Linked DNA regions of Caenorhabditis elegans. The protein of the gene in region 1 purifies or fractionates together with the protein of each later gene. This does not show direct contact. Each region holds a gene or a part of one and is shown on either strand. Other genes may lie near its edges.

Evidence for each region. Proteins that work in one complex are often made in the same cells at the same time.
Region 2: the proteins of C26B9.3 (region 1) and C15F1.1 fractionate together in Caenorhabditis elegans (co-fractionation; one large-scale study listed by BioGRID). This does not show direct contact.

What each region holds. Positions count from the first base shown.
Region 1 is NC_003284.9:5,336,368-5,340,684, forward strand, and holds C26B9.3 (uncharacterized protein), read left to right. Parts: upstream 1-1,951; 5' UTR 1,952-1,976; coding exon 1,977-2,076; intron 2,077-2,135; coding exon 2,136-2,261; intron 2,262-2,717; coding exon 2,718-2,871; intron 2,872-2,919; coding exon 2,920-3,021; intron 3,022-3,031; exon of another isoform or gene 3,032-3,171; intron 3,172-3,340; coding exon 3,341-3,461; intron 3,462-3,525; coding exon 3,526-3,696; 3' UTR 3,697-3,815; downstream 3,816-4,317. Other genes in the region: C26B9.2 (uncharacterized protein), read left to right, coding at 3,972-4,097.
Region 2 is NC_003280.10:6,987,858-6,992,215, reverse strand, and holds C15F1.1 (ShKT domain-containing protein), read right to left. Parts: upstream 2,337-4,358; 5' UTR 2,324-2,336; coding exon 2,260-2,323; intron 2,147-2,259; coding exon 2,012-2,146; intron 1,960-2,011; exon of another isoform or gene 1,855-1,959; intron 1,718-1,854; coding exon 1,635-1,717; intron 1,590-1,634; coding exon 1,492-1,589; intron 1,341-1,491; coding exon 1,293-1,340; intron 1,084-1,292; coding exon 870-1,083; intron 754-869; coding exon 634-753; 3' UTR 529-633; downstream 1-528. Other genes in the region: C15F1.2 (uncharacterized protein), read right to left, coding at 3,770-3,892, 3,957-4,071, 4,119-4,297, 4,351-4,358.

The DNA of each region.
Region 1 (4,317 bases):
AGTTGAACACAATGAAAATAAAACATCAACCGGTATTGTGTGCTTTCAATTTTTTTTTTGATTTAGAAGCTTTTGGTATCGTTGGCAAAATTATAGTTTTTTATTATTATTTAGGGAATTCACAATCTATTTCTGAAAATCCTGATCAGTTGCTGATTTGATATGCGATGTAAGAAATAAGAAACAGATATTGTAAAATGGGGAATGTGTAATAAACTCGGGGCGAACTATTGTTCGCCCTCTATTCAACCCACATTTCGCGCACACTCTGCAAAAGATTCTGGGTCTCCGCGAAGCGCGTGATGTAACTGTCTGTGTCTATGCCTCTCTGTGGGTGTTTGTATGTCTATCTATCTACACGTTCTTGCTTCTCTACCACATCTTATACTTGTGTGGTCTGCCCTCGCGAGAGTGTACGCGGCTCGACGGGTGTGTTGTGGCCGGCGGCGGCGGACGACGACCGCGACGCAGTATGCCGTCCATTTTGGTGTTTGAGAGTTATATACACAAATACAAATAACAAATAAAAAGAAGCGCTCATAAGGAGTGGAAGACTAGACAAAAAGTAAAACCATAATATTACTGTAAAGAATTTGGACTAAAATATATAAATCGGTATAAAATTACGTTAAATCTAAGTTTTTCTTGAAACAAATTTCTGTAAATCTAAATTTTCATTTTGAATTTTTTCAGTATAAAAATTGCCATCCACTTAGTTTTGGAAGTATTTGTAATAGATAACATTATTGTTCATATTTAAAAAAAAATTATCTTTGCGCCTGATGGAATTCTGATGTGAAAATGTTGGAATCTATCAATCGAGATTTCCTTTCTTTAACTTTTATCCATCCGTTCATTTGGCAAATGTGGAAACCATGAATCAAACAATAGAAATAAAAGTATTCTAAGCATTTCCGAAGAAGATGTGAATCTCAACTCAGAACATATCTTTGTGGTCCTGGGTACAATTTCAGTGCACAACACTTTTAAACACATTTTTGTTGATTTCTTAGCTTGTTGTTTGCCAGAAAGTTTTCAAAAATTAAACAAACTTTTAGATGTGTTGTAGTTTTTTAAACAATATTTTTCAGCCGGGCAAAGTAGGCAAAATGTTTTTTTTTTTTATTTTCTGCATATTTGGCAAACCGCCAAATAAAAAACTTGCCGATTTTGCTGAATATCTGAAACCCGTGGTTTTTTTTTTTCATTTTTTCCAATTTACTAAATACAAAATCGAACCCATCCTTTGAAGATCCTATAATTAACAAAAAAAAAGAAAGGAAATCTCTGAAAAATATAAAAAGAACACGAAGAAAATGTCAACACTATACAGTTGTTGATGGTTTTGCGTATAACAGCTGTTTTTGGTTTCAGCTTAAACTAGGTATGTCTTTGAAAGTACTTTTAAAATTATATATAAACTTTCAATAACTTTAAAACGTTGTTAATGATTATTATAATTCCTGTTTATATGTCAATCGTCAACTTTTTAGTGAATCATTACAAAAATCAGAAACAAATTTAAGATTTAAAATTCAGATCATTGCATGACAATGTTGCACAATTGCCCCACTTCCGATGCCAAGCGTTCACGAAGCATATCCTTATCGTCGCTGTAGAGTTATATTTTATATTCGTCTGTTCCGATCCGCTAAGGGATAAAATCAAATGGGCGATATATTAGTTGAAGGTGTGTGTGTACACTCAGGACGAGTGGGAACGATGTCAGCGCCGTGTAGCATCGTCGTCACTGAAGTCGAAGAAAGAAGACGGTGTGATGTGCGGATCGACGGGAGAGAGAAAGGGGCAAAATTGGAGAGAGATAAAGAAAAGTGAAACGAACTGGCATTTTCTGGCGGAGGATTCGTTGGAAACTAGGAGAGATGAAGAGGCGCGGACGACAACACAGTCGATAGGCGATGCAGTCCGTCCGGTGTCCGCTGCGCACCATACTGATCCACACTTTCTCCCAAAACATGCGGGTCTATTCGCTTATACTTCTCTGTTTCATTACTTTTGTCCATGGGCAAGAAAAAGCTGAAGTGGATATTCGAGTTTCAGGAGCATGTTCGCCAAGTAAGTTCCAAATTTATATCTCCCTTGTTCTGAAAAGCAAACCTAGATTCAAATTTCAGTCTACTTGTCGAGGAAAGGAATTGATATCAACAAGTACCGACCGAGTATTCGTTTCAATCCAGACAAGATTCAGTTAATTCCAAAGAATCCAGTCATTCCAGGGTGTATCAAAATTAAGGCAGAAGGTAGGTGAAATTTGCAACATCAATTCTGAACTAAGAAAATAAAAATTGTTTAATTTAAATTTGAACTAGAGCTAATAAGTATGCTGCAAGTTTTAGCAAAAAAATTCACCTGGTTTAATTTGAGTCTCAATATCATGCAAGTAAACAAATTTGGCATGCTTGCTTTTTATTTAAAATCAGAGGATTAAAGGAGGATACGTTTCTCAAGCACGGTAGGTCTAGGATCTATATTATGGTGCTCCTTCTTTGGGCTATTGTTGAAGCCACGGAAACTGTGAAATATAATCCAGTCATGAAATACTTCACTTCCCAGTACAGGCTGAATGAAGCTAGAGGGCAGGATTTGAACTTGTGACCTCGTGATTCCTTGCGGCCATCACTACCGACTGAGCTATCCCCGCCAAAATTGTCAAACTATTTTCCAAAATTCTTAAACCGTTTAAATAAAATTTACAGGAGTTGAAATCACGAGACCAACAAAAAATTTGATTGCCGAAGTTGAAATGAGAATCGGAGGAACTCCGGATCCAAACAATCCATCCCTTCCATGCTCGAAAAAAATCGACGAGAAGGTGAACCAGTGCCCGTGCGCCAAATTGGAAGGATCTTGGTAAGTTTGTGAAGCATATATTTAAACCTCAAAATTATTATTATTTAGCGTGTTCTGCGACTTCTGCAAGCAACTTAAGGCTCAAACGTCCAAAATCACACCTAGCAAGCTCAGCAGACCTGAACACAAGTTGATCGATGAGGATTGCAAGTATGCCATTTTGTTTTCACTCTCATTACTCGTGGTGTGAATAGTACAAGTTTTTGAACAACATCCGTTCCTCTACGGAAAGTGAAAGCTAGAACCGCGACGGGTTCGGATGTACTTGTCTGTTTGATTGATTTGTGATTTGGCAAAACTGCGGGTCTCTATAGCCTCTACAGTCTCGCAAAAATCATGTAATCATGTTTTCACTCACATCTATCACAGAAACATTGATCAATTAAAATATGTGTAATGAGTGTTAAGTTAAACATTTGAACCAAAAAGAAAAACGTGTGACCAACCGACGAAACGAGTTTGGTTTCAGATGTGGTGATATGCAACCAGGACTTTACGATATTGAGACAGAAATGTGCACACCAGAAATGGACGATTTCAAGGATTACATTCCACCAGAGATTCAGAACAACATCCTTGAAAAGAAGCCTGTAAGTTTTTCTCCTTTCTTCAATTTTCTTTATTTTTATTTTGTTAATCAATTGTAATATTCAGATTTCCATGTTCATCACTGTATATTTAATGGATATGGAGCCACGGTCTTCCAAAGAATCATATTTATCTGCGTTCGGAAAAGCAATTCTGCAAAGAAGAATGGCTCAGAGCACTGTTGCGTGCTTTTTACTTGGCATTGATGTCAAGCTCGCTCTTCCGTCGTTTGACTAAATCGCATATCTATTTATTTTTTTAATAATTTTTGCCTTCCAACACCTCCTCATTTGTAGCTTGTAAATTTCATCCGACTGCTCTTTCACTGTACGCCGAATAAAAACTATGAAAAAGTGAAACAAAAGTTCGTGACATTAGATGGCAATCGAATCGAAAACATCTTCATATCCTGTCTATCCTGTTTCTTTTCCTAGTGATAAGATTGAAATAGAAAGGCGCCGGTTCTCGAGAAGAAGCTGATAAACTTGCAATTCATTGTTCGCACTCTACACATGGAACTCTCCTTTCTAATAATATTTTGGTGTTTAACGTTTTGTGTTAAATGTGTAGCCTATACTTCTGATAAGAATTCAGAAGAAGACAACGGTTTCTACAAGTTTCTGTCGGATTCTTTTCAGGTATAATAACTTAAAATAATACTTGAGAGTTTACAAGTTCAAAAAACAATTATTAGATTTACTGTCTCCAATATTATTGTGATTTGGGATCCTCAATACCCGGAATCTCAACTTTTTTCTTGAGGTCCTTGTAAATGCTTAGAAACCATCTTCAAGATCTGTTTCGTAACGTCAATAGTGATGCTTGCCAAAAACTTGCCTTGACTTGCTAAAAACGGGA
Region 2 (4,358 bases), on another chromosome or scaffold:
CTCACAGATAGAAAAATGTCAAAAGGGGAAATGAAGTGGTTGAACAGAATAGAAATGGACATAGAGAACTTGATGAGCAACTAAATTGCACCAACGGACATCTGGTTGCATATTTACAACTATGGGGAGACACGAGAATGCTCTATAATATGTCTAAAAATTATGATCGAATGCCGATCGAAAGTTTCTTTTTTCATGAACTTGCTAAAGTCGGTTATGATTAAAGATCACTAAGCGATAAGTTAAAATTTAAGTTTAAAAATCACAAATGTCATCAACTCCCATCGAAATTTCTTCTAAAACCTTATTCTCCGCTAGTCTACTCTTTCATCTTCACTCATCGTTAGAATCCTCATGAATTGCCAATAAAAGTGTCAATTCTTGCATCCATTTTCTCACTTCATTTGCTTTCTTTTTCTTTTTCATTTTGGCTCATTTCACAGCTCATTTATTTTCACTATTCTATTATACAGTGACTCTTGAGATGGTGCTATATACATATTTAGCAGCTTTTAGGAAAACTCATAAAAAGCAGCAAGAGTTTTTATTTTTAAGGGGAAAGGGGGAATCAATTGAGTGGGAAGTAGTTGACTAGAAGTGGAATAGAAAGAGATAAACACGTTTTTCTTCAGTTTATGGCTCAATTTTGTTGTAACGAATAAATGTGTGCTCCTGCATTCCATGTGTTAATGTCTCCATGTTCAGACGGGCTTGAAGTGTTGATCGATCCAGAAGAGTCCATTCTCGGACGAGCTGAATATTTTAAATTTTGAGTTTGATTGAATTATGTGAAATTAGAGCGTTTTTGAATTTTGTTGTTGGTTTTCATTGTTATGACTACACACAAAAACACTATTCTAAAAACTTACATCATGAACAGGCAAATCTCTGCTGAAACTAATTCTTCCGATATCCTTAAGCCGGAATCTAATTTGATTTCCATTGACTGGACCTTCTTCGACTGTCACAAAACCATTATTCATTACAGTTGTCAGTGCGACTTCTTTTGTGTTTGGTTTCACAGAAATATATCCATATTCACTGTGCAACTCATCTTTATCATTTATCGACCAGGCAAATGCTCTGAAAATTCGGAGCATTTTGAAGATAGTATTGAGATTTCTATTGTCACCAATTCCCTTTTACAAGTACACTTTTCCGAAAAAAATAGAAGAGCCACCAGAATTGACAGAATCAAAAATAAAATCCCAAGACAAAACACTCAACAGTTCGAAACAAAAAAATAGGTTTTTTTGGAAAATAAATAAAAACAAAAAATGACATATGAAAACCTGTTTGGATTCTTCTCATCTCTTTTTTCTACACTCCATGCGAACGCTCTAAATTTAAATATTTTCTGAATCTGAAACATCTAAACGGCAATATTTCCAATAAACCTTTCACGTGAACGTTAACATGCCTACCTGCCTCGTACAACCACCAAATAATAGGCGGCATGCAGGCATGGCATAATTTCAGTTATTTTCTTACGTGTAGTTAAGAGCTTGAGCCGATTGCATTGCATCGCCTGGAATTGAAATTTCGATTTCTTCTCCAAATGTGAATTTCGGAATTGTTGGGAAGATTGCCTAGATTTATTAAATTTAAGAATCTGGACAGTTTCAAAAACGAACTTTTCCTCCATGTTCAGATCTCCATTTCCCTACTAGGAAACCAATTGGTGTGAGTTCCTGAGAAAGACGACGTAAATCGTATTCTGAAATAATAGTATGTTTTTAGAAGTTTTAGAACCACAAGAAATTGCAAATTTAAAAATATAATAGTTTAAATGTTTATTACTATTTTGAAGTCTAATATTATGTTAAATACTACCCTTTCAAATATTTTTCCAGATTGTTTGCTCAATTTTATTGAATTTCTAATGTGAAAATTCTTCCGTCATTTCTTGAAAATTTTTTATGTAGAATTCCACTTTTTTAAAACTATCATTAGTGTTTTAATAAAGTGTAATAGCTGAAGTTTTTAATTTTTAAATAAAGAAACAACCTACTGGGATCAACCTCTCCACATTGTCCACAACTCTTGAGACAACTTCTTTTAATATATTCAGTTGAATCACATGCATTTGGATTGACAGTAATCCAATCTCTACAATTATTATCAAAGTCCCGGCATGTGTCGGCTGCTGAAAAAAAGATATACGTGAAAAGGGTATTGTTATGTTTAGTGTAAACTGAATATGGGTCTGGGAACCTGTTTTTATGGCATTTTATTGTGTTTTGATTGAACGAAACAAACCTATTGAAAATGATAATAAACTGAAAAGTGTGAACAATAGAAATGACGTCTGATGTATTGACATTTCTCTGAAAAGTCTGAAAATGATTTTATGAAAAGAAATGGAAAAAGTAAACGAAAGGGTAATTGGTAGAATGACGGGAAAAAGTAAAGAAGGAACTACTAGAAATGGTTGATATGATAGATAACTAGTGAAAGGGATAGATTTTTAATCAAGGTTGGCAGAAAAAATCGAATGTAAAAGGAGGGAGAAGGTGAGTGAGTGAATGAGAAACAAGAAGAATACAAAGAGGAAAAGCCTTCTTTTTTCTCTTTTTTATCACTTATCACCTCAACATCGTCAATCAACGAGCGTCGTGCCGAGAACCGAAAACGATCTTTTCCAGTGCTAATTGAACATTGTTTTCTCTGCGTTTCTTTCTTTTTTTTCCATTTTAAATTAAACTTGTTCGAGTTAGGGTGCAGACCGGTGAAAATTGTGAGATGAACGATAAGTAATTGGATATTCAAAATATTTTGAACATTGGTGATTTGATTAATGGAACAATAAAAACAATTAATATTTCTGGAATACAAAAATGTAAAACATTTCCGTTCCAAATGAAATAGTTTTTCATGAAACTATTCTCACGAGAGAGGTTAAAAATCAACATTATAATGTTTATTATAAGTTTTTAATTCATTAGTTATTTCTGAAAAGTTTCAATGCTCTCCATTTTTTGTGGTGAAAAGATATGAAAAAATAAATTAAATTAAAAAAATATTTTGAAAGTGGTTTGAAAGGACTTTGGAAGATACATCAGCAATATGAAAATAATCTTCAGTGCTCAACTAACCCATATTAACTTATATGTGTTTGATATTTCTTCAAATTTCTTGCCCCGAGAAAAAACGAGAAAAGATATTTAAGCATACTGTCCTGAAAACCAAAACTTATCGTGTTACTAATAAGTTCATTACCGAAGTAAATTGAGGAATTAATACTTCTTTTCGAAAACAGTTCTTCGTCACAAAATGGTTGAAAAAGAAAAGAAAAAGTAGTGAAGAAAGAAGGCGTGTGAGGGGAACGTTCATTTGGCATTTCCATTCATCTTTTCTTTGGCATTTAGCATGTCATTTCAGTTACAAGTGTGGAATGCAATGTATCAACTGTAGAAAGAGAGAAATGGAAGTGACCATTTGGAGAATAGAACACGATTTACTGTTCATCTTCTTTTCTGTACTGGAATTATCATTTGGTGGAAGTGAAAAGAAACAATGTGATATTAGAAAATTGTAAATAATATGCTATCGATTCCTGAAACTTTTCCCACTCATAAGTCGAAACCTTAAAAAAATATTTCATTTGTTTTTTAAAAATTAATAAGTTATTAATTATTAAATTACTCGTGAAAATATGAATGAAATGATTAAAGCGAAACCGGAAAGTCAATAAACAAAATTGGCACCAGTGAGATAACCGGCAAAGTTAATTGGAATGTAAAACAGTATTATTTGATTATTTTATAGATTATGCTCTGTATTTGGCCATTCGAACAACTCGGGCTCCCCGAGAAATGTCTAAACCAAGTTGCGCAATTTCTTGAAGTTTTTGACCAGCATCTGTATTTAGAAGGAGTTGTCGAACAACATTCTGAAAAATAAGAGAGTTAGTTCACCGATAACAAAACAAACGAAAATATATAGAAAAAAGATACCTTAACAGCTTCTTTGGCTTTTCTCTTAACACATTCTTGTTTGATCTCATTTATTGTAGCTGTCAAGCTGATAATTGTTCTTTCCACTTCAACCTCGAAAGTTTCTTCACGGCATCTGAAAATTCAGTTTTAAAAGAGAATCAGAAACTCAAAAAATCATACTCATCAAAGTTCGGACAACAATCTCTGAGATGTGTACACTTCTCTTGAATCAAATTAGCATCATGGAAACATTCTCTAGATTTTGAATATTCAAACGATGTATTCAAAAGTCGCCGGAGAGAATCATCATATTCATGGCGTTTGTGTTCAGGATAAGCAAGACAAACTGAATCTTCAAACTGAAAAATAATGTTAATTGTAGTGAGATTCATACAGAATATGTGTAACTTACATATTTTT